2 linked regions of the Lepisosteus oculatus genome follow. Each later gene encodes a partner of the first gene's protein in a complex. Links are inferred from orthologs where the notes say so. Each region holds a gene or a part of one and is shown in the gene's direction. Other genes may lie near its edges. The genes, in order: itpr1b and cnn1b.

Region 1 (16,930 bases):
AATTAATTGCATATACCTTTTGAGGCATGAAGTCTGCGAACTAAAGTCTTTGTGTAATAATTTCAGGTGCTTAGCTGCTGCCCTATTCAGTTCTTGCCTATTCCTGGGGTGTCCTGGTATCAATTCTTTCTTTGTCATGTAAAATGCATGTTCAGTTGGATTCAACTTTGGAGACTGACTTGGCTAGTCTGAAATTTTCCACTTGTTTCTCCTGATGAATTCTTTGGACACAGTACTTTTCGAGAGGACAGGACATACAGCACACACTGCTGTGCGCAAATCTTAGACATTTTGCATTTTTCTACTACTTTCAATGTTTTTTCTTCTTTAAGGCAGAAATATTTTTCTTGTGATTAAGTACACAACTTTAGCTTTTTTTAAAATTAAAACATTAATCCTAATGGTTCTGTACTTGGGATTTCAAAAAGTAAACTCCTGGCATAATGGACATGAAGAGAGGAACACATGATGTTAATAATGAGGAAAACATGACAATGAGTCAGGTGCTGTAATAGTAAAAAACACTAGCAGAGGTTTTGAATCAATTGTCGATTCTCATTTATATACATATATTAAAAACTCCTCATTGTATCCAAGATATACAAGACTTTTTTGCACAGAAGTATAAATGTAATCCATAGACATGCCAGCGAGCTTTCCTAAGAATGCACTACTTATTTTAGAGAAAGATCTAGTTCAGCCTGAAAAAACAGCACACACGAGCATCGCTTTCAACTGCTGGTCCTCAACCAGGATGTATTCTAGGTACTTCACATTGTGGTTTTGATTAAAATAAAAGTCGCACTAAAAAGACCAAGAGAAGCCCATCAATCTGTAAATGTTGAATCTAAAAACACAGCTGTGATTAAAAAAGCATTGCAAACAGTGCAGTAAGAAATTACACTGTCACCATCCATTATAATATATAACGTTAATTACTCTGATATGATACTATAGCTATTTTACAAATGCTAATTTACAGGTACATTTCAAAGACACCTACAAAATTTGTCAGAGCACAATAGAATAGGTCTCAATACCATGGCACACGCATACAGTAGATTACTTTGTGTGCAGCAGTGTCCAGCATCCTTAACATGGTTGTCACAATGCTTTACATTTGTAATTTATGGCACAAGGTTAAATCTCATTCTCCATAGACATTCATTTTTCTATGGAGTGCTTTTTTATTTGCTTTCTGATAGCACTTATTTGTAATTCAATTTGTAATCATCTGTATTGAATTGTAAATTAGCTACAAGATGCCCATCAAGACAGAAAATGTCCCATGGCCTCACTCACTGGAGTCATTTTGTGGATTCAGCATTAAGCTGACCATTCTCGACCTGCTAGTTACTTTCTACAGTATATAGTGTAATATATTTAATTACACTTTCTCCAATGCGCCGGCAGGTTGGATTTTGTGCTAACATACACCATAATGTACTGCAGCAAAAAAATAAAACAGATAACGCTGCTTTGCATTGTCAAATGGAAAAGATGACATATTTGAGACAGCACTGTAGTCTTCCCCATATGCTGAGAAGTAGGTCACAGCCAAAAGAGTGTGCTGGTTTGTGACGTGCAAGCCTCATCACTGACCTCATCTCAGATACTGCTCCTGTTCTGCCAGTCACTATTTCTTGCAGGCCCTTCTGCTCCTGGTACTGTATTTTAAACCATAGGCAATGGTATATTCTGGAATATTAAAATATCATGAATTACTGTAAGTGAATGCTTCAATAATCATAGCCTAGGTATTCTAATTAAAAGAAGATTATTGATATTTCTTGCCACGACTAAACTGTGACATTTTGTGCATCCTGTGAGGGTTTCTTAGATACTGAATACCTGCCCATAGGATTTCACTGCATGAATCTGTAATTGAAGGCCTAACAACTTCATTTCTGTAAAAGGGTAAAAAAATCCTAAATGCATTTGCACACCTATAGCACTTGAAACTGCTTAGTGCTGAAAACATGAGGCACAAAGAAAAATATATCTCCTTCTGATAAATGAGTGTGAAATGTGGATTTTTTTCAGAATCTAAAGGCTGCTGCACCTGTTGAAGGCTTTCAATTATGAATCCTTAATTAAAATTAATATCAAATCTATGCGGTTCCACTAAGTGTACTGACTGTAAAGTGTTTTTCCAGCTGAATTACCTTTTCACCCTCATATTGCTTTTGGTCTACCCAGTGAAGATTTGAAAAGATTGACAGTCTTTTATTTGCTCAGTTTCTTGACTTTCTGTCATGAAGCTCCATTGTTCTTTTCTTCATATCCTTTCTTAGGGCACTTAAATTAGTGGTTTGATTTTATTCATCATCTGACATTCATTTCCAGTTTAATACCTCAATGAATAAGAGCAAAAGCCAAGGCATTCTACATGAAAATTTTGAGAGTTTAAATAAACAGATCAATTAGAGATGGAACAAGAAGTTTTATAGGTCTTTTTACGTTTACATCAACTAAGAGCCAACATGGGTTGATGGAAAATTTGATGCACTGCCAGCTGAGTTGTGTAATGTAGATACTGCCAAGATTGGATATGTTGGGCGACTTTTTTTTAGAAAACACTTGCTGTCCATTTTAAGGCTTAGCCTTGAAAAAATGGATTAGAGTATAAATCTCTTTTTTTTGGAAGCAGTGCCAAAGTAATTGTTTATAAAAGAACTCTTATTAATACATGATCTAAAAAGTGTGATAAAGAAAACTTAACACACTGTATGGGTTGAACTGAAGCCCCACTGAACCTAAAGGCTTTTCTTAGGACAGCAAGGAGGTGGCACTTGTTAGCAATCACAAGAGTCAAGAAAGCCTTGAAGCTTACTGTTTTATGCATGTCTCAGTGTCAAGCACGCACTGCAGTATTCATGCCAAAAACAACTTTATCCAAATTCTGCCCCCTCTTCAATCTCCATAGTAACTGACTGTGTTGATGCTGCACCATCTGTAAGAGATTACATACTGATATGCATGCTAGCACATTACTTTAAGCCACACCATTACATAAAGAACAAAGTCTTCTACCTCTGTAAAACAAGCTCGTATTTTCTGAAAATATTCCAAATTTACAGAGAAGTTTTAAAACTAACAATGTCAAATGTACTGCGTAAAGCACAGTGAACTCCAATACAGATTTTACAGTATAACTTCACCTGGTTGCTGATTGCGATTTTGAGTGTCATAGTGAAACAAACCTCCAACTGCTCTGGAACACGTTAATGCCATAAAAGACATATTACAAAATTAAATGGAGTATACTTACGTGTATATAATAAATACCAAAAATTATGGGCATCCTCAACTAGAGAATTAGTTTTTCAACACACTAGAGTCACTTTGGAAAAAAATGAAGGTACGTTGGGTGTTGTAGTAATGATGACGATGACCACAATAGTTGCTTTTATAGTATGTGCAAAATACATACTTTTCAATATTAATTAAATCCTACCTTTATTTGAAATATATGGCAAACAAAATGCACTTTAATGGAAAATAACTCTCTGCATTGTGGGGAAAAAAAATACAAATCCAACTGGACTCTTATTCATAACGGACTACGGTGTATAGAAGCACATATTGAAAAAGTCAACAATAATTCTGCCCAATAATACAAAATGTGCAGCCTTTGGTCCTGATACCCATGTTAGAACACTTTGATTCCAAAATACACTGGGTTATTTTATTCAAAAACTGGGCTTATGTTGCAAAGACGTTGAAGCTTAACCATGAATGAACTTTCCTGTAGCATTTGAACACGTAATAGGTGTATTCCATGCTGAAAAGAGAAGGAAAAAAACACAACGTTTCTGCTGTGGAGCCTTCTTCGGGTGTAAGGTGCCTTTGCAGCCATGCATGCTAACACAGCTACCCACCTGAACTACTTTCCTGTAGTATATTGACCTGAAGAACACTAAACTTTACTGGGGAAGACTATAAAATAGAGAAAGGATGAAGTGGATGTGAAATCAGTGTTATTGATTTGAAGAGCATTAAACTCTTCTTTGTCCTAAGTGTGACCCCAGATAAAGCATTTGATATTTGATAACAGTCAAAACCAAGAGGTGTAAAACTGTACAGCAAACTGAAGAGTAGTCATTTGTATTTTTTTTATTTTATATAATTGATATTTCCTCTAAGAATATTCCTTCTGAAAATATTTGGACAACTTCTAACAAAAAGCTGTTAATATGTAATTCCTTAGCTTCAGCTTAAAAGTTACCTTATTCACTACAAATATGTTTCTTGTGATTTAGTCTTAAATAACTGTACAGAAAACCTCTTATTGAAGGAACAGTAAGAAGACTAAAGCATAACAAACTAGTAAAAAAGTAAATCACCCATGTGCAGAAAACGATCTTATTTGTTTCAGCACTAAATTTAATCAAAGCAACTGACCATTAAGATAACCTCTTGAACTCTTGTGGTACCATGGGAAACTCACTAAACCATAACGATATCATCACTACAACCTTCCCAAAGAAAAATATAATGTGCAAAGGGAATTTAACGAACAAACTTCAAAGCAACAGCTGCAGTGATTGAAGTCAATGGTTCTTCCACATTTGCATTTCAATACCTCACCATTAAAAATCTGCAGCACTCAGTCGTGGAACTAATGCCGGCTTTTTCTGGAATGTTGCAAAACGGGATCCATTCATGCTAATTTTACCTCAGTTTCCCTCACCTTCCTTACCTCTCTAACGATTTGCAACTCTGCAATCAACATATGAATGAAGCCTATTTACAGCACTAAGCAGTTCCTGGTGACAAGACGATAAATAACACGCCTGTGTGTGTCTAAGCCTTTATGAATTCTCAGTGTTGTGAAAGCATTTGAACATTGCAACTTATTGAAGGTCACGATGTTTATTAGAAAATCTGGATTTTTTAACAAATCTATCAATGAGGGCAGCGATTATAGTCTTTAAAGTACTGATCTAGAGATCATTATATTTAAAAATATAATAGTCTGCCAGAATAATGATAGCAATAGAAAACAATAAAACTACGGGTAATACAATTAAAAAGGAATACATTCAAGATGTTCTCAAATCAAATTCACTTTCGCAAAAATATACATTTGGGGTTATATATTCCTTGATTGAAACGTATTTAACTCAAAGTTGTCCAATATACAGTGTACTGTATACTATAATGTATACAATACACAGCATAAATATTTAAAGAAATATTCACTTTTCACTATTGGTTGTATGTATATCTTTATTTATACCTCACACCTGAAAAAGGCTCCATGGCCGAAATGTTGCGTTTTCTTTCTTTTTTTTTTCCAGCATGGAATAAACCTATTACTTGCTCCTGTACTGTATATCTTTAGTATGTTCCTATGCTAATAACCTCTCCTAACATTCTGTTACCTATGGACAACGTCTTTAACTGAAAACGGAATATAATGACATGCAAATAACACTTCCATTAGGAAAGGCTGGATTCATACAAAGCATTTCTCTTAAACTTATTTTGGATGATGGATAAATAAAGACAATAATAAAATATCTTTCAAACTTCAGACTGACGGGGACTGCCAAATATGTAAAGAGAGATTGCTTAAATAGGTTAATTAATGCCTCACTTACTTAAGGGGAAATACAAGTGAAAATGCAATTAAAATAAACTTGAACAAGGAGCCAATTTAACTTTGTCAAATCTTTATAAGGGAATTAACCTATTTTGTTACTTGGAGATCAACATAACAAGATGGCTTTGTAGAGACACATTTACAGAAACACCACTTTACAAGTAACCATTGCTTCTGTTACGTGTTTGATGTTTTAAGCATTGGTTATACAGTATCTACTTTACTGTCCTGGACACACTGAGTGTCAGTAATTCATGGTGTCACTTGTTGTGAAAGTTAGATGAATGTAATAAGTAAATAAAACATTAATAAATAAGTAGCGCTGGGATAAAGAAGCTTGCATGAAATGTTGGAAAACTATCAAAAAATTCCAGAGTTATTTCTGTCCCCTCTTTGTAGGTCACTGAATTCCCAAAGGCACTGAAACAGAATTTGTATATGTAAAAAGCATTTGACAGTGCATTTACTAATTTACTTATTTTATTTAACAAAAATATAACCAGAAGAGGTCTGGTACCAGATTGAAATGGTTAATAAAACCTCATAAGAGTGAATCTGGCTTTGGTATTGTGGAACACTTTGCTTTCTTGGAGACATCCCAAGAAATGATTTTGTGTTCCACTCCTCATTTAAATATCTGCAATCTTGAAAGGGTATAATGAACTATCTGTAGTGTATTTCATAAGCCTTTGATGTCTTAGTAACATGGACCTAAATTCCTCGGATCTGATCTTGAACTTCAACAAAGAGGTAACATTTTCATTAAGAAATTATACTCCTGTTCAGAAAATTAGATACTGCATGCTGAGATCCAAAGAACCACCTAAAATATTTACTCCCTGTGAACCGAGGGTAAAATGTGGAATGATGACCTTATGTATCTTCATGCATGAATTCCAGTTTAACCACAGTTGTATTTTTAATAAGAAAATATATTCTTCTTAAAATTACAGTAATCATGCAAATGATCATCACACACGTTTGAAAATTCAAGAAGTAGAACACTTACTGCTTGTGAGATTTGCGTCTTTACTTGTTCGCTCAATAAACCTTCATACACAAATGAGTCCCCGAACTTTTCTGCCTGAGAAAAAAAGACATTTAAGAAATATATCTTGCACACTTGCAAATAAATTTCACAGCTTATACAAATCAATAGTTTCAGCTGTCCTCACACAGGAATCGTTTTGAGGCTCGGAGATATCAACTAATTGACTCCCAGTTGTATCTCAAAAACTGAAAACGCACCTAGATTTTCATGCTCAGTTAACTTTTAGGGGTAGCTTGGTGGTACAGTAGATGCTATTGCTGCATCAAAGTGCTGGGGCCCCGGATTCAAATCCAGACTTGGGATGCGAGTTTATATCTGTTCCTAGTGTTTCATGTGGGTTTCCTTCAGGTGCTCCGGTTTCCTCCCACAGCCTAAAAACATACTGGCCAGTAAGGCTTCTGGGGAAATTGGCCCTGGTGTGAGTGTGTGTCTGCCCCGCAATGGACTAGAGACCCGTTCTTCCTTGTGCCCATTGCTTGCTGGGATAGACTCTGGCACCCCCATGACTCTAAAATAGAATACTTGAACTTGAACTTTATTGCCATATGTAACTGCTACTGGTACAATGGAATTCTTACTTACAGAACGTCTCTCGATTGTAAAACAAGTGTAAAAAACAAGACAAAGTGCAAACAGTGCATCAAGACAATGTGCAAGTAAACATGTAGACAGTTTGAATGTAAACAATACAGATGTGTAAACAATGACTGGAGATGTGCAATAGATAAGAAATTATAAAGAGGTAGATGGTGATGGTGTAGGTGTGGTCCAAGGGGGATGGCTAATTGTGTTCGCCAGTCTCACTGCTTGTGGATAGAAGCTATTGAAGAATCTAGTGGTAAGTGTCCGTATGCTCTTATATCTCTTGCCTGAGGGAAGTGGGGTGAAGAGCTCATGCCCGGGGTGGTGACTGTCCTCTGTGATGGCCAGAATTCTACCACGGCAGCGGTTCTCATAGAGCTGTGTTCACAGTCCAGGTTAGATCTTTAGAGATGTGAATTCCCAAAAACCTAAAGCTGGTGACTGTTCCCACTTCCGTTCCATCAATACTGAGTGGGCTGTGAGTGTATGGCCTGTGTCTCCGAAAGTCCACTATTAGCTCACTATTACTTGGCTAGAACATGAATGGATAGGCGGTTCCCTTATTTTCTGGGGCTTAAAAACAAAAGATGGATGAACTTTTAGCAACACTGTATAATGGGTATGAAAACATGTGGAGGCTACTGTATACAGACTCTGTTTCCATGGCAGGCTATATTTCAATTGGGAAAAAAAACATTTAATTCCTTCACGGCATCCATGGCAGGGGAGAGACCTTACGTCTGTCACATAGCCGGTGGCGTTGACAAAGTTTTCAAACTCCAAGTTGCTGACTTCATAGACATCCATGTAGAACTGCTGAATGTGCACTGTGCGTGCTGGGCCTTCCCCGTCCTGAGGTATTGCGGGCTCATCTGTACCCATCGTGAACTTCCCCGCTGGGATCAGCACCATCTAGAGCAAAGAGAGCGAGTACTGAAATAAGACAGCCCCATGATTACAACATGTAAATAATAATGCGCTGCACTCGACTAGCCCTTGTCATGGACACTGCATTGATTTCTGTTCGGATATTGAGACTAAGATCTAAGTATCAGGAAGACTGACAGCTTCAAACCCTACATACCGGAGAGTGATATTCCCTGGGGGAAAAAAAAAGAAATGGTTTGCTTAAAAGAATCACCTGTCTTGTCAATTATGACATGGTGGTGTGGTAGTAAACGCTACTGCTTCACATATCACTAGCGTGCCGAGATCCATTCCAGCTTTGAGGTCTGTCTAGATGGAGTTTTCCCCCTCATTCATGTGAGTTTCCCCTGAATGCTCCAGTTTCCCCCCAGCACCCAACTTCTCTAAATTGTGTCTTTAGTTTCGGGGACTTCATAGGAGTGACGTTGTTGCCAGTGCAACCAGCACTGTCTATAAAAATTTAAATAGAACCAAATCAGCACAATGTGCTAAATCCTCTCCTCCTATATGTTACATTTCTGATGTTTGGATTGCATCATCTATTATCCATCATACAGTAGTCATAACTTCCAGTATGATGCAAGTAGCTCATCATGCGTGTGTTCTGGATGACTGGATAGACCCAAACGTTTAAACTCAAACTGTCATTTTGTGAACAATCCCAGCATTTCACAAGTACATTGAGTGAGTTAATCTGTTGTTTTAATTCGGTTTTAGCACTACAACACCTAAAAGACTTCACAACATTGACCACAGCTCCATAATCAGAATACCGGCAGACATTTACTTGAGATGTCACGGTCTCATGAGCTGAAAACAGTTTTTTAACAGTGAACATTAGATAACAATAAAAAAAACATTCACAGGTATAGTGCTGGCATTGATACAACTATTCAAGACCCCAGACACCTTGTTTTTAAAAACGTTGTATAACAGCAGATTCGCTGTATTTGGTTTCTGTTGTATGACGTTTTGTATGTATGTGACGTTGCATACTTTCACTTTTAACCACTATACACCATAGGTGAGATGAAAATCTTAGGCAGTAGTGCAATAGGATTTAAACCTGAGTTTGCAAGCCTCTTTATAGCAAAACAAAACAAAGTTCAAATGAAGTAAACAGAACATCACACTTAGATGCATGTCTGATAAATTAAACCAATGTTAAACGTTACACAATTCCAAACGCAACTTTCTGTCCCAAACTTTATCTAACATAGCGTGATGTTTAGGTAATCGATCACACCTTGTTATGAATGGCTGCAGCTTTTGCATTAACCTCATTTTGTGCCTTCTCTTCGTTTGCTTCTTTGGCGTATTTGGCACTTGCTTGTTCAGACAACGAAGAGAGACTTTCTGTGTCCGCAGTCTCAACTTCTCTGTTCAAAGATTGACATCCACAGCTTCGACCTGCCGAATTAGAAGAAGAAAGCTGTTCCGCTCTCGTTGTCGCTGATCTCTCTTCGTCTGCTCCATTGGCGTGAGATGCAAAGAAAATATTTATTGAGAAAAAAACAAAGGCGGAGAAGGCTAACATCGTTACAACTTCCTCAGTCCTGCAGTCTCAGACTTAATCATTTCTTTGTGCGTGCAGCCATAGTTGTTTAGCGTCACATGACTAGTCAGCTGACTTTTTGTGTCCGTTCAGCATTGTTTTAATCAAAAAAGCAAAGGCATTGAAAAATCAGTTCTATATTTTGGGTTCCTCCCTTACGTGTGAACACAGTATAAAGCGATGTAACACCATTTAAAAAATAAAACACTAAGATGGCAATCTTAGTGCCTGAGGTCCCAGCAAAGTGCTGTTGCTGAAGTTGTCTTCTCACTGAATTCTTCTTCCGACTGAACTTGACAGAAAAACTGAAGCTGCTTACGCGACTTGTAAAACATACTATTAAACTTGGAAAAATTAGGTTTCATATGAAACTAAAGGATTGCCTTGAAGCAGCTTGCATGCTAGTAGTTAAGATTACCCAGTTTAAAATGTAAGATACATTTTTCGATTGGCTGGTTTCGAATACTTCGGAATAATATCGAGGAAGACGCATATATTCAAAATACCAAATAATTTTGTTAATATATGATAGTTTGGTGTAATGTCGGATAATTTTAGTCCGTTTTGCAATTCTGAAATGAACGAAAAGAGCACGATAAAATAAGTTCACTTCTTTCATATAAAACTACATAGACTCTTCAAGTACCTTTACTTTAACTCCTCCTCCACATAATTGGCAGTATGGGATTTGTAGTTATAAATAGTAATTCTTTACTGTCAACTTTCACTTATCAGTTGATCTATGAAACAACATTTCCCATAGTTCACTGCGGATATATAATAATCGGCAAAGAAGTGCAGCTTTGTAGTGCTCATGTGGAGGTAGTGCAGAGCGGAGTGAAGAGGGGAGGTAAAGCGCTTAAAGATCCGCCTCTTTTTTTCTAACGGGAGTTTAAATAACATGGAATTAAAGGAAAACGGGATCTGGAAAATTATCATCCACTAATTAAGGTTGAAGCGTTGCAGCTCCCAAGACCAGCTCTTCCTTGAGCGAAGGTAAAGTTGTATGCATCTCTGCAGTTTTAAAAGGCAAGCATCTTAACCTGTGTTGTTAGTATTTACTTCTCGTTTAAATGTGTTAAATTTACGACGCACCTTTCAGTCGGTGATCTCCAAGCAACCTCAGATCGCTTTCAATGGAGTTGTTACCGTCAACTTCTTAAGGGGTTCGAATGAGTTCTTGATCGTAAAGCACTAATGAATTCAACTCAAGTTCATCCTGTATGGAAGTGATTACGTTTTAGTTTTTTTACGTTGTATCAAAAATAGGCATAGAATTACATTATGGTTAAGTGATAGTAAAAATCAGAGGAATTGTTAAGATTGTATCCTTTTACGCTATGCGTAACGCTCAGGAGAACTGTTATGGCTTTGCTTTAATAACGCAAGTATTTAGTATTCGTATCGTGTTTAAAAAAAACGTTTAGTCCTCTATTTAATAGATAGCATTCGTAACTCTAAAAACTAGCGTTCACCGTCACTATTGGGAATTCTTTGCGTGCAGTAGCTACAGTACCATTTGATTTTGCAGCACAGCACACCCCATTCCCAAGATTCAACGAATAGTGAAAAGTGCATACCACTGGGCACATATACTACTACATTTTCTACTGCAAAGACTCGCATGTCTGTGCTTTTAAGAGCTTCAAAATGAAGGACATGGAATACAAGGCCTCAGGAAATATGATGTGCGTTTTTAAAATTGTAATACCCTGTTATACTTTGTGTCCGTACTGAAGCCGGCGCGGTACCGGTCTTTTTTGTTCGAGTTGTTCTTAACTTTTAGTCGCGTTCCCAGGATAGCTTAATATGTTCAGTGACAGAATATACGACAGAAAAGAGATTGGGTTATTTGTAATCATTAGCCATTGTGAGTAAAAATCATGTTAAAACTTTTCTGGTGGTTTCATAATATTAAAAATATGACGGAAGGAAGCAGCGTCTATCCGAAGAAGTAACATACCTATACTCCGAACTTGTTGGCTGACCTGACATCATGTGTTTTGCAGAATAAATCCGCTTTTCTGCTTTAAAAGGCATTTTAAGTTTTGTGGACATTATAGGACGTTTATGGGTTCTAGTTAGTAGCCATACAAAAATTCGGAAAAGTGGCTTTGTAATATGAATGTGTTGTAAGCTGCTTTAAAACTGATGTATAATATTTTGAATGAAGTATAGTATTGGAAGATATGATTCATTGTCATTCCCAGCCTTAACATTCTCAAAATATCATTTTAAATACAGTGTTTTGATGATAATAGCTTTAAGTAAGGAGGAGGATAATGACATTACTAAATAAATATGAATGCCCAAATTCATTGTTTTTGTGTCATTGGGAAATTAGTGAACTGTGGTATTTTGATTTCTTTTTTCAAATTTGTAATGCGCCTAGTTTTGTAAATGGTTGGCTCTTGTTTGAAAATTGAACGACGCAATCAGATTAATTTGATAGACAAAACATTCACTGTGTCGCTGATGTACTATAGTATATTGAGCAGTCTTGGTCATAGCCTTCAACACAGGTAAATTATATATGTGTTCTTTTGTGTGTTCTTCAATGACCTTTTGGCTAAAAAAGAAATGGAGAAAACAAAAAGTGTCAGAAACAAAGCAAACAATCAATGAATAAACGACATCAAAACATTCCCAGCATTAATGTCTGCTGAAACCAGTTTGATATTTTTAAACGGACAATTCAATTTCTTTGAGTAGCTCCCCAGTAACTAGTGATGCATAAGTGGACTGACCTCTGTATACTGCGACACAGTTCTTTTTTAGAGCACCGAATGCTCTATTCAGTGTCTTCTAATTAAGTCACTTGTTGCATTTATGTCCAACACTGTATAGCGATTGTGGCTGCCTTGGTAGAAGTAATGAAAAAACATCTGAGTCTTGAGTGGGTGAGTGGGCTGTCATCTTAGAATCAGGCACAGATCATTTGTTCATTTCTGTGCATTTGGGTACAGATGGGAAAGTATGAAGGCAAAGTGTGTGTTGTTGAATTACTGTGCTTATTTACACTGAGCAATGAAAATAAACTGTTCTAGTCGATCGGTAACGTTTAAATGTGGACACCATTTATGTGAGAATATTTATCAAAGTTTGTGTTCCTGAATGTAAGTTGCTTCTTTTTGTGTTTACAATTAATGGTCGACTTCAATAAGGCCACACACTTTTACAAGAAGTACAATGCTTTCAATTCCTTATCTTGTAGGTTTTAACTTAGGTTTTAAGCAGTTGACAGGTTAGAGGTCCCATATCTGCTCTTCTCTGAATTTTTAAAAACATACTTTCTGTATTTTAATGGTAATAAAACTCTTCCCATCACCTCATGCCACTGCTGAAGTAATCATACTTCTGCCGAAGTATCCATTCTGTAAAATCATGCAGTAGTGTGGCTTCACCAATTTACCTTGGGTAAAGAATAATGTAAAGAATAATGGTAGAGGGAGACATTGATCTTCTAAAAATAAAGCCCTGAATGAATTAGAAGAGACTGATGCAATCAGAATCACTAGCAATCTAGTGCAGGAAGCAGTTTGAATGCTGATGTCTGGTTTTTGTGCAAATGGGTATCAATTAGCTTCCCTCTGCTCTTCCTTGGATTTCAGCAGTTCTCAGTGAGAAAAATTGTGTGTGTGTGGTTTGGTACACTGAAACAGGGTCAAACAGGTTGCTGTTTATGGTTTTACTCTTCTCAGAAATGAGTTCCTGAAATACATTCAGTGCCCTCCAGATGAATTGAGGCGACAGTCAAAACTTCTTATGTACAATCAATAAATCTGCAATCATGACATTGACAGGATCTATTTGTCTAATATGATATTTTATGTTTGGGTGATTTCAAGAATACATATGATGATGGAACAGAAGCATGTTTTGTATTCATCCCAGTGATTTCAAGAGACTCTTCTCTGTCTCATTTAGCAGTCTTCTCTGGCTCAAAACCTTTTGTTTTTGACTGCAGCTGAAACCCTAGGAAGAGCAGAAACGGCTAAGTAATACCATGGCTTTACTGTCCCAACACTTTCAGAGGGTGCTGTATCCAGAATTGCTAGGGAGGCAGACTTGGGGCAGTTTTATACGGTATATCTACAAGTGGTCTTTGGAAGTGAATGGTTTCTGGGCAGTCTGGCCTCTGAGTTCCTGCTGGAGTCTCTGACATTTGTTTTGTTGTATGTGTGTCTTCCCACACACAGTGACTCAAGCCCTGCGATGTACTGTACATCTGTGCTAGGCCTTTGGTCTTTCTGAGCAATATCCATTTCAGATTGCATACAGTCTGCTCTCCAATATGGATTTGTTAATATGAAGGTACAGTGGCTTGTAGTGTATTTGGTTTATTTTATGACACAGGGTCCAGTTCATGTTTTATTTACTTGAAGATTATTTTGAGCTAGTAAACTATAGTCAGACATTGGTGATGTCACTGGGTAATTTAATACATGTAACAACATAAGAAAGGAGAGGAAGCCATCCGACCCATCTTGCCTGTTTGCCAGGCGTTGGCTAATAGATTTCAGTAACACATTGAGCCCCTTTTTTGGAAGAAACCAGAGTGTTGTCTTCATCAATGTGGCTTGTTCCATACTCCCAAAGCCCTTTGTGCCTCTTTTTTCTTGTTTTAAAATACACTTTCTTATGCACCTTATCGTAGTAACAGTGGGGTCCTGACATTTTGTGAGGTTTCAGCGCATAGAACTGTTACGAATAGCCAAATTAGTATATAACCAAGTCCACCCCTATACTGGTGCATAATCTGCTCCAGTGTATAGTATATATGGTTAAAAGATAGGAGTAACCCTCCATATATGACAAAGTTAGTTAAAATAACATTGATCAATTGAAACAAATGGTCATTGCAAAACCTAATTGTAATCCGCTAAAATAAACAACATGAATCTGCGTCTGTCATTCCGCACACTGCCGACACAGAACCAGAAGCGTTCTCTACAATACAAAAACAAGAGCCCATTGAGTTGCGGGTGTTGGGTGTCGGGTACTTGGGTAGGGAGAGGCTGAATCACCAGTTACATTGATCTCACAATTAGTCTAATTTGAAAATTGTGCATGACATCCTTCGGCTTGGTTTCATCCCACTCCACAGCCACACCAAGTCACGAATAAGCAAATTTGTGAATGTTAAATTCAGAGCTGTGGAGATCCTCCTGGCCTATGTTACTGAATGATTGACTAGAAAACATTAGGAAGTGTATTGTGAATTTATTGCCTTTTTGCAGTAAAGATATTTAAAGAATATGTGATAGCTGGTCATTACTAAGGAATGAAGGTTTTGATATCCTTAGGACCTTCATTTGTTTTCTTTTGAATTCAGTTTTGGCAGAGAAATAGTCTGAATGTTTTCTCAAGGGAAATAACGTATTCAACCCAGTATACTCTCAGGACAATTAAGGTTTTAAGATTTTTTTAGATTTCTTAAGTTATTAATCACAACTTCTCCAAACAACTCAAACCCTTAATGTGGTTATATTTAGACAGCATATCATTCCCTGTCCAAGTGATGGGTTTTTTTTCTGCAAGAATATTCGAGAAAGTCCCTACTATCTATACTTTTGTCTTTTTATCATAACATTGTAAACAATGGGGAAAAGTGTGAAAATATCCATGCACATACACAAAGATGAACACAGGAATTATAACAGGTAACAAAATTTGGTTAAAAATAAAGTTCCCCACACTGCTGACCCAGTACTAGAAGCATTTGTTACCATATCTATCGTCTTTTATAACATTGTAAGTTCTGCTTAGCTTCATATTCTTTAGGAGGGTACCTGGAACTGCATTAAGTTTGGGAAGGAACCTTCGATATAATAATCACAATCGGTTTGTGCAATAGCTTTCTGCATATTCAGCTTCCATTTAAAAGCAGTCTTAAATTTTATTTCTTTATTTGTGCTGTATATGAACGTAAGATTAAATAGTTCTATGTTCTACATGTTTTTAAACTCTTTTATTTATGGAATGTAGAATTTCAAAGGCTTTCTCTAGAAAAGTAGGTAGTTCTTCCTGAGTATTGCCAGTGTGGCTATCTTACATTTAACTTACTGTTTAGGCACATTGAATCACATTGATCATGATTTATCAAACATTTTTTTGGCAAAATTTGATGAATGTATTCAAAGAATAAATAAACTTCTTAACACCATTCCATTTGCTCTTGCATATCATTTGGGTTTCGGTTCATCATGCAGAAATTAAACTTTCATTTAACTTTGTGCCTCTTTGAAAACTGTACTGCACTTATACAGGGGAAGAGACTCTAATACTGCCTGTTTTACTATCTCTAGGCTTTTCTGCATGTTTTCTTCATGGCCTGTCTCTAACATGTCCTGTTATTCTCTGTAGTAATACAAAAAGTTTTTGTAATTCATACCATGTATACCGGACATTTGGGATTCATCTGATCCAATTACTAAAAAGAGATATGTTATACCTTGCAGTGACTGAAAAACTGAAGAAATGAAAATTGGACATCTGTTGAAAGTTTCTGTATTTTATTACTTTATTATGTAATTAAAGGGACTTTCAAGTAATTTCAGATGCAGTCTTTGTTACTTCGGTGTTATTTGTGGATGAAAGTATTTCATTTAAGTATTTTGATGTAGAGTCTTCTCATTTTACATATGTTTGTTCTACCAAATAAGTCAATAATATTGACAAAATAATACAGTATAATGCTATTTTCCCATGTTGCACCTTTTTTAGTATTTGCAAATAAGGAAACTCACTTTCATGAATAATATTGATGAGAAATAAACTGTGAAAAAGTCTTATTTTTTTCTCTTGGTTCATGAAATGCTTCTAAAACATCATGCTTTTGTTTTTGTTTTTACAGGAGAGAAGGAGGAAATGAGAAATGTCTGACAAAATGTCTAGTTTCCTACACATTGGAGATATTGTCTCTCTGTATGCTGAGGGATCAGTAAATGGATTTATCAGTACTTTAGGGTAAGTTGTTCATGTTTTAAAAGCACTTAATAAAGGTCAACAGCCATTAGGTCCCATTCTATGTACATAAGTACCCATTTAATAGTGCCCTAGTATTCCATCATTTATGTTAGAATCATTTTGAGTAAGTTTTTCAGCAGTGATAAAGAACTGAAATTTGTGTTAAAATTGATTTTGGCCAGAGGAATTACTGTGAGGATCTTGTGATGATGATCTGTGAAGAGACCTTGTAAAACCT
Region 2 (16,615 bases), on another chromosome or scaffold:
CTCCCCACAGTTTTCAAAGAATTATAAAGGAGACTGTGTGATCTGTGTGTCCAGACACTTCTCCTTTCCTCGCGTGATTCGGAAATCTTAACTACTTTTTAAATGTGCATTTATTTGTGAGTTTTTTTTCTCTTTCTTTTCTCCCTGTTTGCTAGTCACAACCCACTTTTATTTTTCATCTCGAGAATGCATGGCCAGTCTAGCCTGTGACTTTCATGTCTCTTCTCTTTAATCATTCAGAGCTCTGCAGCTGAAATGACGGGAGCTCAACCCGGGCGATCTCAGCCTGGAATATTGGAGTGGTGGGGAAAGTATCACTTTCGTGACAAGCCGATAGCCAAATGGCCAGTTCCTTCAAAATTGGGAGAAAATATCAGCTTCTTTGTATTCCCTGGAAAAGAAACTCCTACTTGCTCCTGTTCCCAGTGCTTGTACAATGCCTACCACTTAACTTTCCATATAGTTTGTGCCATAGGTAGTTGCTACCACTCAGACATGCTCGAGTAGAGCATTAATGACCTAGCCAGCTTGGCCTGGTCTAGGATGCTTGATTTCAGATCTGTGCATCTTACACTTCTCTTCCTCAGACCTGCGGGGTTGGATTATTCGGAATTCTGTGGCCGCGGTAACACTGGGGGGACCACTACAGCGCCAAGGCAGAGCGAGCTGCTGGCAGGCGAGAATTGTTTAGAAAGGCGAATCCTTCAGCGCTTTAGTCACTGTCTCAGATCAGATCGCAAAAAGGGGGGAGACCACACAGAGGAACTTCTAAAAATGGCAATCGGGGAGTTATGACACTTCATAATGCTGCCTCCCTCCCCTCGCAACTTTCTCTGAGCAGTTGAATGTTGAATCTTAAGTGATTCGGTCACTCCTGCACTCCTGTGTGATCTTACGAGCATGGTATTTGTTTATTGTAGAATTAGGCTAATATCTTGCCAGTGTGTGTGAGGATGATTCTGCACTGCCTGGTTCTTGTCAGTGTTTCACTGGTTGGTTGCAGTCTGATTTTGAGTCCTAGGACTTGGGCTGTTGAAGCTGGTTTTCACAGTGGACAATCAAGACCCACCTCCAATATTATTTTTTTCTCCCTGTTGTACAGGATGAAACCAAATGATGGTAAAATTAATCTTTCAACAGAGAAATTGGACATCATCAGACCAATGTATTTATGTAGTTCAGGTGGGTAGCTGCATCAGCATGCTTAGGCTGCAAAGGAACAAGTAATACTGTAGGTTTATTCCATGCTGAAAAGAGAAGAAAGAAAACAACTTTTTGGCCGTGGAGCCTTCTTCGGGTGTGAGCTCACTTGTTCCAACGGATTTATGTATTTATTTCTCCCTTAGTTGGCACACTTCACTGTCTGTGTTGTCCAGTTGAAGGAACTCAATGGTGAAGACCTACTGCAAGTATATCTGTGCATCTATTTTCTAACCACTTCTTCCAATTCAGGGTCACAGGGGAGTTTGAGCAAGGCACAAGGCAGGTGGGATGCCAGTCCATCGCTGGGCGCACACACTCCCAGGCCAATTTCCTCAGAAGATAGTTGACCTAGCAGTATGTCTTTGGACTGTGGGAGGAAACCCATATGATCCTGGGGGGGGAACATGCAAACTCCCCACAACTAGCAACCATGGTCTGGAATTGAACCCAGGGCCCCAGCACTGTGCCATTATGATGCCCCTACAAAACCATTGTTTTACACAATGTGATTTAAGGAGCTGTTTACACCACATCTGAGTGCTTTAACCTTGGCTGGTAGGGAAACATTTACTGGGTTATACTGAGAGCAAGTTGCAAAGAGGACACCCGATACCAGCCTTAGCTGTGTAGCACACAATGGTAACAAAAGGCAGTTTTTCTTTTTTTGTCCAGGGATGAGGGAAATTTTCAGTATAGATGATCATATTTTGCTTGCAAATTGTACCATTTTGGGCTTTCTAAGGCAGAAAGAATAAAGATGGGATAATGTTTCAGCATTCCTTTTGAAGAAGAAAATCCCAAATAGAAATAAGGTTTGTTCACCTATGTTATTGAATAAAGCATTGCTGGTGAATTGCTGTGCATCCTGGACCCCATCTGCTCTGTTGGAAGTGTGTATATATATACTGTATGTGTAATGCATCTAAGCTGTGTTTTTAGAATAGAGAAGATGACATTTCTAATAAACTTGCCAGATTTGCAAATGTTGCTTAAATGTGATTTTGTCGAAGTTTATCTGAAATATTCAGGATTGGACAACAAAAAGGGCAGATATTTAATGTAGATGAAGACAAGAAGAATAGGGTCGATAGAGTAAACTATGACCAATATTAGGCACTGAGCTATATACAAAAGTGTTTTTTTTGTTACATTTCTCTTCTAGCAAATGTGAGAAAGAAATAGGGAAGGCAAAAGCAAAGATTAGCCTGTGGTCAGAAGTGTTTTATTTTAAATCAGGACTTCCCAATCCTCATCCTTGAGACCCACACACGTGTTTTTTCATTCCAGCCTTAATTGAACTAACATGTTGCTTGACTGGAATATGTGCAAGGATTTGTTTGTGTACTAAGAAGTTTGGGGTCTTATTTTACATATGAAATGAGAGGCAACCTCCAACGTGTTTCAAAGCTGAAAGCAGTCAAACACTTTAAATTATTCCGATTATTAAGTCCTATTAGGGGTTTCGTTGTTTAATGGAGAGCTTAGATGGAACAAAACCAGCAGGTGTGTGAGAGAGGAGCTGCTCACTTAAATCAATAATAATAACAATTGCTTACACTTATATAGCGCTTTTCTGGACCTGCTTTACAGGTAATGGGGATCTCCTTCACCACCAATGTGCAGCCCCACCAGGATGATGCGATGGCAGCCATAGTGCGCCAGAATGCTCACCACACACCAGCTATCAGTGGGGAGCAGAGCACTCATAGAGGAGAGATTCATAGACGGGGATTATTAGGAGGCCATGATTGATAAGGGCCAATTGGAAATTTGGTCAGGATGCCGGGGTTACACCCCTACTATTTTGAGAAAAGCCCTGGGGTTTTAATGACCACACCGAGTCAGGACCTCGGTTTTACATCTCATCCGAAGGACGGCGCCGGTTTACAGTATAGTGTCCCCGTCACTATACTGGGGCATTAGGACCACATAGACTGCAGGGTGAGCGCCCCCTGCTGGCCCCATTAACAACACTTCCAGCAGCAACCTTAGTTTTTCCCAGGAGGTCTCCCATCCAGGTACTGACCAGGCTCACACCTACTGAGCTCCAGTGGGCTGCCAGTTGTGAGTTGTAGGGTGAAATGGCTGCTGATCAATCAAGGGAGGTTCTGTTAAAATGTTACAGTGCCCTAGTAAGGCCTCATTTGGAGTCACTGGTAACTGCATTGCAGAAGAAAGCTGCACTGGAGAGCAGGAGTACATTCTTGTGCTTAAAGCAGTTGTGCCCAGTCCTGTTCCTGGTGACCCCCACACCTGTTGGTGTTCATTCCATCCCACCTTCGTTAGAAACCTGAAGCCTTGCTTGAGCGAAGAAGTTGCTTTAATTAAAATTTGCCTTTTGTTCCTTTGAATTTTATTTCATTTTGAAAATACGGTGGGTGAAAGCTGGGAACAAATATGGTGGAGCTTTAAAACCATTCACATTAACCTTAATAGTCAATGAAGGGGTTGATTGTGTAACTGAGGGCTCAACTGGAGCACAAAGCAGCATGGATGGCGGTCACCAGGACTTGGAACCAGTGGCTTAAAGGAATGACCAGCTCAAAAGTCAAAGGAACTGAATATTGATAGTGCTATTTAAAAGCACTGTATAAAGTTCTATTAATATTAATTGACCTTGGTATTATATCCTTAAGTACTTCTTAACTTTTATGTACCTAAATTCAGTATAAGGGTGCATGAAACTGGTTTTCTACATCCTTGCAGACAAGTCCAGTGGGCTTTTTCCGGGTCAACGGTGAGGCATTACGGGAAGTATGAAGGTGGGAGAGGAACTACGACCCTTCTCGGTACAGATGGTGTGGCACGTCTTTGCACAAAAGGGTGTGGGTGTCAAGAGAAAGACATGATATGCATCTTCAAGCCCATACCACTCTGCGTCCACTCGTCCACTCTGCGTGTTAATTACGGCCGGTGTGATAGTTATTTAATAACTTTAAACACTGCTCTGAGCAGAATTTCTAGGACTCATGTGGGTGTAAACACGGCGGTTAAAAATCGAGCTGCCCGCCTACCGCCCTGATAACAATAACCACTTTTATCCTGTTGAATGAAACAATGACTCGGGCGCTTAAACAGTTCGTCAGCCTGAAACTGTTTTAAAACTCTGATTTGGGGTACTCCGATCTGACAGCGGCCCTGGGGAATTGTTGTAGTCATTCTTGGATAAATTATCGCTGACTCGTCAAAGCAGGTCTTCGCATCACTGCTTAATTAGTTCTGTCATTAATTAGCAGTGCTGCGGATTCGGCGGTCCGCGTGACTTGTGCGCTGACCGTACGAAACCTTTCGACCTGTTCAGCGCTCTACAAAACCGGTAGTGGTGCAAGGCATATTGAGCACAGCCTTTGCCTATCCAACTGCAGCTGGTCATGTGCTTCAACTTTCTCTTCGTTTGGCTCGTAGTCTGATAAAAAATACTGTTTTTCTACTGTTTCCAAAATACCGAAACGTACCTCCTGAACACAGAGTATCTACTGTATAGTGTATAACAGGTCTTCGTCATATTGAAATCCTTCTCGTGGCTGGTTTGCGGGCAGGGAAGAAATTTTAACTGAATTGTCGCAGTACAAAATACGAATTTTCTCAGTATCTTCTCAGACCTGTACAGTTCTTGCAGATTAACAATAATATTGCTGTATATCTAGTTTGAATTAGCTGATGCCTGTAAATGACACATCAAAGCGGTTTCTGAACGGTACATAAAGTGTAACAACACGTCATTCAGTATCTATTGTATGTTCTAGTGTATTTATACTACGTGTAGTATAGACCTAATTTGGAAGTCTGTGAATGAACAGTTAAAATTGCATGAAAGAAAAGTCGGTCAGTAGTAGAAGTGCCCGAGAGCGTTAAAGCACCGAGATGTCGCACCTTTCTGCTTATAGAAGGTGCGCGAATCTTCCCTCTGTCTGGAATATTTCTTTCTGGCAGCCGAGACGACATTGCGATCCAAGCGCTTTTGCAGGCAGCGTTATTTGGCTGCAAGTACCCCACATGCCCAAATAAAGCCTCCGCATTCCTCTTGTTTGGCATTTTCCAAAATGTTTACAAGACCTCCGCTTGCTCTTTCTCGCGCTCCCTCCCTCCCCCTGCCTCTCTCTTGAGTAAAACGGCACAATATCCACCCCGGAGATGAAATCGCTCCCCTTTGGCCGGGTTTTATTATATAAAGTAGGGAATCACTTTGTTGTCAGTGCGCACTGAAGTTATCCCAGGCGGACTTATAAGGCAAAGCTACGACCGCGTCTGTGCCGCTTTTTCTGCCCCAAAAGAATGCGAAAGTAAAGCCGACCCAGTAACGCCACTCACTGAGAGCTTAAACCGTGTTTTTATTAAAGCTACAGCACGAAGAGCGCACGACAGGGTCCATTTACACGCAAATATCACATTCCGAGTTGCACCTTCACCCGCTATGAGATGACACACTTCATATAGCAGCTTCGTCCGGCTCTTCCTATAAATAGACAGTTACTTTCAGCAGGGCCAAGTGTGATGTAGCTATAGTTCTCCTCTGATTTATAAAACCCGACTTGGTAACTTTTTTTTTTTGCTCATGTGCTATTTTGGGAAAGGAGGACAACTGGTAAACTTAAAATGACACAAATTAGAAAACCCAAAACCTTTTATTTGTGCCCTCGAACTTCCGAGAATTCCGCAAAGTCTTTACCGACCATGTGGTGTCACCGCTTGAGAACCAGGATGCCCTCCTCTCTTTATCTGAGGGCGGCGGGGTCCCCTGATGCCAGCTGAGCACTTAATTGCTTAATTGACGCACTACTTGCATGACATTTTTTCGGTCTGGAAAACGGGTGATGACTAAAGCACTTCCAGCAGTTTGGCACATTGTGTTGGAGTTCGCACACCTTTGATTTTAGATCAGCTGGACTGACTCAGTCCAGTCCAAATGGAGATCTTACACACGTGGGGGGCTCTGAATGCCCCCACACATACACACAGAATAAAGCGGCAAAACCTCTTTAGTCTTGAAAAGAAGGACCTGCCTATGAGGTTCAGTTCCAGATTTTGAAAAGGTTAAAAAAGAAAAAAAAAAACCCCACGCGAGGAGCTGCATCCAAGCTCAACAGGGAAACGCAGGCAAGTGGAAATTCTGACCTGACGCTTTCAGGACTGGGATTAGAATTGCTCTTTTACACAGCCAGACAATATTGGCAGGGTAGTGATCTGTGTAACCAATAAACCCAGCCTGTTCCCGCAGAAGCTAATAAAAAAAACCCCACCATTGTTAGTTTTAATTTAAAACAGAGAAGCCTCTTAAAAAAAACCCACCCACTTCCCATCTCTGTAAACTCAGAAGCCAAGTACAGTAAACACAGCTCTCAGCAATTGACTTCAGAAGCCCTCAATTGCATTGCAATTAGCAGTCGTGTTTGCTTGGGATGGGCTGGCTTTGTGCACTGAGCTGGTGTCTGCCACTGAAATTCAGACAGTCCTTAGTCGTGTAGCCACAGATCTGCCCCTAACTCGTGCTCACACTGAGGGAATCCTTCAATCTCCTTGTGGCGATTTATCCACTACACTGTGTGGGGGAGCTAGAGCCTATCCCAGCAAGCAACAGGCGAAAGGCAGGACCCTGGACAAGTCACTAGTCCCATGCAGGGTGCACACCGACAAAAACACACTCACACCAGGGCCACTTTTCCCAGAAGCCAATTAACCTACTAGTATGGTTTTGGAGTGTGGGCGGAAACTGAAGCACCTGGAGGAAACCTGTGTGAACACAGAACATACAAACTCCACACAGATGGCACCGCAGGTCCAGAATTGATCCCAGTGCTGTGATGTCACCACTGTGCCCCTCTTTCCTTCTTGTGAGTTCTAAAAACATGGAGCTCTTAATACATCTTAATACTGTACACATATTACACTATGGTTCCATTCATTTCACTCTTCCAGTGCGGCATTCCACTGTAGGTTCAGGAGCTGCGGGGATCTTTCCTGGTGATGTTGGGCTTTTTTTTTAAACTTTCCTCCTGGTGACTGAGCAGAGTTGTATGTGGACCCCTGGATCCCCATTCCAGCAGCTGTCGCAGGACCACCACCAAATCCGCAGCTCCATAGGGACATGGAGCCATTGAATTCCTGGGGAATTCCTGGGGAATTCCAGGTAATGGGTTAAGCAAAGACATTAAGGGGACATTTGGCAAGCAAGCCTTTATAACTGATGCCTTGTAGCATCCTGAGACTGGATATGCCCTGATGGCTTTCTTAAACTAATACTGGATATGTCAAAATCTAACAGTAGCTCTAGGTCTTCATACATCAGTGATGATGGTGAATTGTGACCCATGAAGGCTGCCCCCTGAAATGGATCCTATTGTCAGGTTCCTGGTTCTTCTGATCCTGATTGTGCATCTTTGTAAAAATGGAAGGCACTGTACTTCTTTCTCGCCCCTCTTCATCTACCCACCTTCTCTGTGCTCGCAAACTATTTCTTATGGTCAGTTGCCCTTAATTATACCTCTGTGTTCTCATTAATGAGTATGGCTGTTCTAAAACTTGAAATTCATTCAATCTTCCAATTAACAGTCCATTTAAAAATAAAAGTGCTTTTTGTTTGTTCCTGATTCCAGAAAACATGGCTTGTCTGCAGAGTACATTGTATCCAGATGATTCCCACGTAAAAAAACTGCCAGTGATTCATGCCTCTGTGAGCTTCTCGCAGGGCCCATCACTTAACATTCCATTTCCCGGGCTTCCAGAACGACACACGTGTGTAAAATAGGAAAACGAGTTCATTGTTCCCAACCCTGTGACATCATGTGGAATTGCTGGATCTGGCAGCTAAGCCTGGTCTGGAAGCTGTGCTTTGTCCCCAGTGAGCGGTTTACACACCAGTGCTAGTTCTGTGCTGGAGCCACAGCACTGAACCCCCCATCTAGAAGGTGGACCAGCCTGGTGTTTTGGAGGTGCTGTGCCTGACAAGTAGAAATCGCTTTGTTTTACTTCAAGGTTCCTTTTAAGAAGAATCTCCACTCCCTCCCCCTGTTTCTCATTCTTGGATGCAATTAGCTAATTGTTCCCAGCATCCTGTCAAAAAGCAAGCCGGCTTTGACAACAGGACTGTTATTGGTTCCAACCAGCTGCAACTCTTTGTGTAAAGCCATCCTCAGTTTCAGTTTCTACTTGGCAATAGTTATACAGCTCCTTCATAACAGTCTCATCATGCCAGTGTTTCTTTTCTAGTGGGTTTTAAGACATCTGTGGATATCTTTGTAGTGATGCTCTGATTGGTGCAATGTCATAAAGTCTAGATTTATCAAAAAAATCGGACTGATGGAAAAATACTTAGTGGTTATGAAAGGAGAGATAGCACTGAGTTCCAGGGGTCACTGTTGGATATGATTGAACTATACTAAAGTACTGCATTATGTTTAGTAATACAGTAGTAGCAATGTATAGGCATTTAATTTTGGTCTCTTGAGCACATTTTAGTTTTCATGTTGAGCCAAAGATTCATACATTTGTAGTTGTGTGAGCAGGTCAGATTCTGTAATGTGAAAAGAGACTTATCATGCCAGACTGCAGGGCTGTCGGGTCCCAGTGCAGGACTCCAGTATCTGACTGCTGGGACCCACCTATACAAGTTCAAACAGTCCTTCTCAAGGTCAGACTTCAGATCTGAAACTTGTTCAACTAGACCGGTGAGCAGGGCATGATGTGATCTCTTGCTCTCTGGCTGCACAAGTCCTCCTAGTGCCCTATTATTGGAGAGTTGAGTTTTAAGTACAGGAGTTAAAATATTTGAACAAAACGTACATTGATAATTCAGATCATTGCCTATTGGAGGTGAAATTAACTTTAAAATCTTTATGAATGCTCTTCATTCCATAGCAGAAGGGAATGCTGAAAGAAAAGGAAAGGAATAGTTTACTGGGGAAATGGCCTGGCAAGGTCAATGGATTGATTTTAATTGGATGAGCCATTGCAATGAAACAGTGGTGTTGGTTTAATTAACCCAATGGTTATCTTTTACTCCTGGTACCCTTGTTAATCTGAGCCCTAGCATGTAAGAAATGCTCTGTGATCTGTTTCAAATGTCCCCAGTGCTGACGCACCTAAAAACCTGTGTGGTTTGTCCTTGAATGAGGTATTACTGTAGTGAGAATCTCGTGACGGTAGCGTCAACGCCTTCTAACCAGGAGGCTGTCAGACCTTGGAAGCTCAGCAACTACAAGGGCCAGAGCCCTGTAATGGAAACTCGGGTCCACTGTAAGTGTTGGTGGGCCAGCAGGTGGCAGTCTTCCCCCTGGATCAGAAATCCCATACAATGATCCAGTATGGCAGCAGGACAATATATAGACGTGTTATAGGACGTGCCGTGCAGTTGAGGCCCTTGGGCTTTAAAGATCCCACAACACTGTTCTGGACAGTAGGACACATCACCCAGGAGGAAGCTGCACTTCAGTGATGAATACAGTGGTCCCCTCTTACAGATAAAGTGGTTTTGCATTCTTTCATGATAGAGAGCCCTTGTTAGCGCTCTATAATAAGGAATAACAATATTGAAAAGAATTTGAGGACCTATTTGTGCACTAGTGCCTTGGGCATATTGAAAAGGCACCTTATTCTCTTGATTTGACCACACATTCTGAAAATAATGATTCTGGGGAGAAGGGGGAAACTCTTCCCCAACCTGTTTTCCATTTATCGCAATCTGTTACTTCCCAGTTGGGGGCTAATGAATTAAAAGGTCCTCTTCTTTAAAAGGTGAATGTCAACTGCTTATTTCTCATTCGAGAGGAAGATTAACTTAGCCTGATGCTGAATGTTTAGTGAATGCGGTCTGATGATCGTATCTAAAAGGTCACAAATGATTGTATTGTTTTTTGATTTGCCACCGATTGCCTTATTTGTGTTGACGATCGTTCCAAAAATAGTTTTGATAAAACGTAGAGGGGTATTACAATGAATGTACTACAGAACGATAGCATCTTCAAAGTCCACCATAGGTGGAAAACGTGACACGATTCCGTCCTAATGCCATCCCGCTGACATCACTGAGAAGCAGTAGGCCGCTGCGATTGGACAGGTCCTGGGCCAATCGCAGCGAGGCCCGCAGACACACAGATGGGAAGAGTTTAAAACAGAAAGAAAGGTTTTGGAAAGTGGTCCAAAACTTTTCCAAAGGGAACTAAAGTGGGGAAAACGACAGCGACCGAGACGAGGAAGTCTTCCACGCACCCCCGTGAAGCTTCACTGCGGCAGAGCGGACGGTTTTGTAATTTTGCTGTTCAAAATCTGTTCTATTTCTCCTTTTTGTTTTTAAATCGACTGTGAACGAAACATGTCAGGACATTTCGTCAGAGGACCTGCGTATGGACTTTCGGCCGAAGTGAAAAACAAGGTAGGATTTATATACATGTTGCTCTGAGTGGATATTTCACATCACAAACAGCATGTTCTCTAGAAACGTTTAATAGAATTAGGGAGACAACTCCAGTCCACTGCGATTCTATCAAAATTTAGATTACCAGTAGCTTGTCATGCACACGGCACAGAGCGCATAAATAAATAAATCGGTAACATCGGTTCTAAATCTATTTTTATTGCTCATGCACAACTTAGCTGGGAGGGGGACAGACCCCACCAAAAAACCTTGAATTTTGACGGGTTAAAATAACCCCAACGTGATCTAAAGACACCTGTTAACATGTGCTGGTGTATACCACCGTTTAAAGAAGCGCGCATACTGGCGATTGTAGAGCTCCCCATCATTAACTTAATGCACCTACAAAGACTACAGGGAAACAGGGATTCGAACTGCTTGTTTAAAAAAAAAAACCCTGTTGTTTTCAAGCGATGTTTTTTTGTTTCTAGCTCGATTAGTAAGCGACTCAGGTGATGCTGATGTCGAGTGACGGTTCTTTGATGTCCAGTCGGTGATCGCTCTTTCGCCACACGCTCTCAGTGCGATAATTCGGTGCTGGGGACGTACTGTATAAAGTATTTAACAGTTATTTCATGAGTCAAGACCGACAGCTGAGATTACATTTCCAAGTGGGATAGAAAAATAGCTTCGTCCTCTGTTTGAGATAACGAGGGGAGCCGATTATTTTTTTTTTGGAGACGTCTGATAGAAACCCGCTCTTTGATACTTGGACAAGCTTTGCTTTCTCCGCAGTACACTGGGTCTCGGGTCTTAATTAACCGATGAGGAAGGCGTTGGACGTTCTCTTCATCTTGAAGTTTTCACAGCTTAACGCCTCACAGCTCTTTCCTTTTCTGTGTAAAGTAAGCCCCAGGTGGGAGGTATCCACTGGGTTGGTAGAAGAGACCAAAGTAGAATCCAGACCGATCTCTCACTGAGACTCATGCACAGGACTAACGCTAACTGCTTCTGTACGGTCAAGTATCGGTGCACAGACCTGAGAATGTCCCAGCGAAGATGGTAACAAAAGGATACAGGGTAAATTACTTCCTTTAAATCGAGAAGTGCCCCCACTTTAATTGCTGTGGGTCTGTTGACATCAACAGGAGGAATTTAATTTCCTCAGAAGCTGGAAGAGTCGGTATAATCCGACATTGTCCACGCAGCCCTGTCTCGGGCCCAGCAGCTGTTGGGAATAAATGATATGATTAAATTGGCTGGAAATACTCCTAGAGCTAGAAATACAAGTGTGACACGTGCTGGACGGTCAGATGGTTCTGAATTTCCCCATCTTCTTTATAAAGGTGTCTGGAAAATCTCAGCTGATTTTTAGCAGGTCTCCCAATTCCACAGTTAGTATGAAGGCCCTCTGGGGAAATGGTGTCCAGTGTCAGCTGGTCTTCTAGGTCTGGTTAAATCGGCAGTGCCTGAAGAGCTGGGAGAAGCTGTTCAATTGGCCCAATTAAGATGCTAACGAGCTGATTCGGGTCATTAAGATAAGAATCCAGCATCTGCTCTGGGCCTCTGGGTTAGTGGTTGGGCACCCCTGACCTGCATGTTTGATCCAGCGGTAGGAACTTGACCTTTCTATATTCTGTACATATTATAAATCTATTACCTTTGATGTGCTTTCTACATAAAGGTCATGTTCTTCTACCAATTAGTTGTGAGGTTGTGTAACCGAAAATAAGTTTTGGAGGAGGGAATGGGTTCCCTAGGACAAAGAACAGCCAAGAGAGATTTTTTGTGTGCTTTTATCAAGGCCCATTTATACTGATGGTAAAACACGACATTATTGGACTTGTCTCAACTCAATAGTCCAATTTTAAATCAGAAATGCAATATTGGCCAGCACAATCCTATTTAATCATTTAATTACCTAGTACATGCTTTTACTCTGGTGAACATGCAGTGCAGAAAAATTATATTATGTGTAAGTACAAGGGTATAGTGGTACAAAAAGTAAAATAAAAACAACATGAAGCAGGGTGTTCCCAGTACTACATGGTATCCACATTGTCAAGTACATACTTGTGCCCATGGTGAAGAAGCACAATTAACATGTTGCATCGCCAGGTTGAGATTTGAAACAGTCTGTGCAGTAAAGTGTAAGAGTAGGTGAGGGATGAGAGAGCACAGGCGCTGTTGGAACACGAGTCTTGAGGCCTGTGGTCTAGGGTCGAGTGACTGTACCTCTGGAGTGTAGGGTCCAGTCTCCAGGCAGTATCTACCAGTGCCACTGGTCCAGGACCAGGCGTGCAGTGGTGGAGAAAATGAATGGCAAGAACATGCTCGGATTGATACTGGAAACAGTCGGCAATGTCTGGGATGGGATGTTCATCGGGTGGCCTGACCTTTTCTTGATTTTTTTTTTTTGCCGCCTTGGGGGGCGGGGGCATATTGCACTTTCATTACAGGTGAATGAAAAATAAACAATTTCTCTTTCAAACTAATTTTATCATCTTTACCCACGGTATTATTGGAGTAGCATTTAGAAATGTTCAGTTTTTTTGGAACAATGAAGTTGGGTTCGTTTTTGCAAATTTCAGACAAGTTAATTAAGAATCAGGAACGTTGGAATAAAGACGAAAGTTAATGCATTTCAGGGTGTTCCCTAACACAGATCCTCCAGGAGATTGAGGATGTTGGGGTCCCCTCTATACATGCACCACTACCTCAGAGATATGGGTGATGCTTGTGTCTTCCTGCAGAAATTATCAATTTAATTGCAAGGAGCTTCTCAAACAAATTCAAAACATGGATGGGATAGGGGGTATTACAACATAGCAGCATCTTAATTGCATAAGGTTGTTTATAACAAACATTAACAAGTAAGAATCCATTGAAAAAGTAGGCTACAGTCCTCAAACACACTGGCCATCTTATACTGTCTGCATAACTACAGATTCTGTGCACTCTGTCACAGAAGCTGACTTTTTGATGCCCTTTATCTCTTACATTATCACCTGTTGACTCTGACCAACAGAGTCAACAGGTTGACTCTGTCAACAGGTTGTCAACAGAGTCAACAGGTTGGTGTGTTGTGGTATGTAGCCATCTGTTAAGTAACTCTTTACTTTAAGAATCTGGTCTGCTTAGCTAGAGCTATTAAAATAGCCCTTGCTATATGAAAGTTGAGTTATTCTACCGAAGTTGCACAGGGCCCTTGCAAATGTGATGTGCTGTTGCTTTTAACTGGAAGGTGCCTCTTGGGCAGATGCTTTCTAGATAACCATTTCTGATCACGGGATGCATCTTTTAAAAATTCTTTATGCACACCTGGAAGAGCCAAGACTCTTGTAACCGCCCACCTTTGAACCACTCGCCAATGAGCATGTCACAGGCAGCCCCGCCCAGTGACGGAGGACCACTGCTCATTGGAAGAGAGTCCATCACTGAAAGCACTGCATTCCTCCAGGCACCTGAGAGGAGGCAGGGGTCACTGAGAGCTGAAAGAGCCCAGACTTGGGTTCTGTCCATTGACCCTTGGCAAGTTCTCAAGCTTTCTTGAGCTGCATCCTTCAGAGAAGATTTAAAATCAATTTTTGTGAGCTGTTCTATACTGACTGGTGTCTACAGGTGATGCTGGATAAAAGCAGATACACTGATCCCTGAAGCACAGGGGACAAGGCAGAACTGAGAGCATGACCTCTTGTACACTGATATCAGGGGGGCATCAGTCCATCAGAAGACCACAATGAAGGTGACAATTAAGAACCCTCTGTTGAAAACCCTTGGAAAGTGAGGGTAGATTATGCAGACCTCAAACAGAAGGCCCCTGGAATCACAGCCAGGACCCGAAAGCTGTGAGGCTGCACTGCGGCATGCTGTCCAGGACTAATTCAATACGTAAAAGATGTATACCATTATCCATACCATCGGGTCAAGACCTCCAAGCATTTCCTCCTCAAGGGCCCATGGCCAGCTTTGCACCCTGAATTTGTATTTATTTAAAACATTTATCACATGTAAATGATGGGTTAAAAATCTATAAAACGGATATCTCAAATTTAATTCTTAGAGGTCCTAGTGCATTTCTTTTTCATTGTTTTCTTGTTTGATATGTATAGGATTTTTCTAAAGGTCATTTATAGCTATTCTGAGGTGGGATATCGCCAGACTAACATCCTTTATTGTTGCTAACTGTTGCTGAAAGGCTGATCAACGCTTTCATCTTCTCTGGAAATGATTACTGTAGCTCCCTACTCGCTGGGGTTTTTAAATCCACAGTGAACAAGCTATAGTAATGTATGTCTGGAATTCAGCAGCCAGAATCCTGACCAGGTCTGGTGCAAGTGATCATGTTAGTCTTATTCTAGAGTGTTTGCACTGGCTTCCCGTCAGATTTCAGATTAACTTCAAAATCCTCATGTCTACTTATAAGGCTCTTGTCTAGTACCTGTTTGTTAGTATCATCCTATTCCTAGCTTTGCAACCTTCATTCTTCTAATTCTGGACTCCTATATGTCCTCCAAGTCTGTCTACACTCTGTGGGTGCCAGTGCCTTCTCCTGCTATGCCCTAAAGCTCTGGAAGTTTATCAAAACCCAAAACCATCTTTAGAAGGGCTTTTATGTAACTGGTTCTGTCTGCCCCATTACTTTCCCACTGTATTCCAAACACTAATTGTAATTGTAATTCTACTGTCTCCTCTCATTATGTATCTTTTTTTTCTGTAAAGCACTTTGCGAAGCCATTTTTTAATGGCGCTATATACATTTATTATTTACAGGGCATAATCAGTTTTTGATTTAATTAAAAACCCTCCAAGCCAGGATAGACACATCACAGCTATGGTGATGCATGTGGTGATGAAGTAAATCGGCTATGAGATATCCGAGGGTTCCCGACTATCCAGGACTTGACCGTCTGAGCCCCCCTATATTAATATCTGCAGGATCCAGCCATGCTAGACCCAGATCCTTGTGCCTTAGCAGCATCCGAGTTATCATTCATAGTTTTCTATTCTATTCATACTAGGAATTCCAGTTCTCAGCCTCTGACCTCTGCCTTTTCCAGCAGCATTTGTCCTTTAATGATCCCTCCCACCCATTACCTTTGGTAGGAAGGAGTAAGGGAGACATCAAAACGAAGAGTCTGTAGTCTTTTTCGTCATCTTTGTCCTTGCTGGTAAAGCAACATCAGCGACCACAGAACCCAGGTTCTGTACAGCCAGGGGCTCTGTGCACACCCCCGCATCAGTGCCGAGTCTCTCTCCCCTAGGAAGCCAGCTGGCTGCGTCCCGCTGTCTCTCTGATGGGTCCCAGGCCAGCAGGTGCTCGGCCCCATCGGGCGCCTTATAAGGAATCGGCGTACTCGGCTGAAGCTTTTAAGCTGTGACCTGGTGTAAACAGTTTGGAACATGCTGGAGCCTGGAATTCCCCCTTGATTGAGATTGAACACTCAGCGTTGCAGAAGGACTGTGGATTGCGGGCGTCGATCATAGATCAGACCCCTTTACCTGCCTCTGCAGAGATGAGGCAGCTGGAAATGTGCCCTCACCCCATCACTTCCTATCTGCAGATCTAACGTGAACTGGGTATTCTTCAGCCTAATGTTCAAATGTAGCTCTTGTATCGTTTGCTTGGCCATACGTTGTCGCCATCAGACCTTTTTATTTCCTTCCCAGAGCGTGCACACAACATTGGAGACTCCTAGTTCTGGTCCCAGACAAACACCTGCTTTGCTGATTTCCATTCCAACCGAACCTAATCGCTTAATTGAAGCAATGAGTTAATTGATTGGATTTGCAAGTTTTACATTTTTATTTGCTTTGGAAATGCAGAAAAAAAAAATACAACACCAACATGTTGTAAGAGCTGGAAACGATCATGAAACCTATTATTAAGTCAATTAAGGGTTTAATTGTGCAGCTGAGAGCTGGACTGGAGCGCAGACCAGCACGAGTTAGGACGTCCCGGACTGTGTTGTAAGAAACAGTCCTGCAGCTCTGTTGTAAGGTAACAAACCACTTGAGGTCAAATACTTGTTTCCTTCGTGGTTCAACAGCACAAGAAATGAG

Evidence for each region.
Region 2: itpr1b (region 1) and cnn1b share a complex: the UniProt entries of both Homo sapiens proteins name them as parts of the cGMP kinase signaling complex. The link is inferred for Lepisosteus oculatus from reciprocal best matches to the Homo sapiens genes ITPR1 and CNN1.

What each region holds. Positions count from the first base shown.
Region 1 is NC_090699.1:54,882,200-54,899,129, reverse strand, and holds the start of itpr1b (inositol 1,4,5-trisphosphate-gated calcium channel ITPR1), read left to right. Parts: upstream 1-10,528; 5' UTR 10,529-10,752; intron 10,753-16,579; 5' UTR 16,580-16,600; coding exon 16,601-16,692; intron 16,693-16,930. Other genes in the region: sumf1 (formylglycine-generating enzyme), read right to left, coding at 6,618-6,692, 7,980-8,153, 9,415-9,705. UniProt on the Homo sapiens protein: Inositol 1,4,5-trisphosphate-gated calcium channel that, upon inositol 1,4,5-trisphosphate binding, mediates calcium release from the endoplasmic reticulum (ER).
Region 2 is NC_090706.1:17,296,898-17,313,512, reverse strand, and holds the start of cnn1b (calponin-1), read left to right. Parts: upstream 1-10,302; 5' UTR 10,303-10,510; coding exon 10,511-10,570; intron 10,571-16,615. UniProt on the Homo sapiens protein: Thin filament-associated protein that is implicated in the regulation and modulation of smooth muscle contraction. It is capable of binding to actin, calmodulin and tropomyosin. The interaction of calponin with actin inhibits the actomyosin Mg-ATPase activity.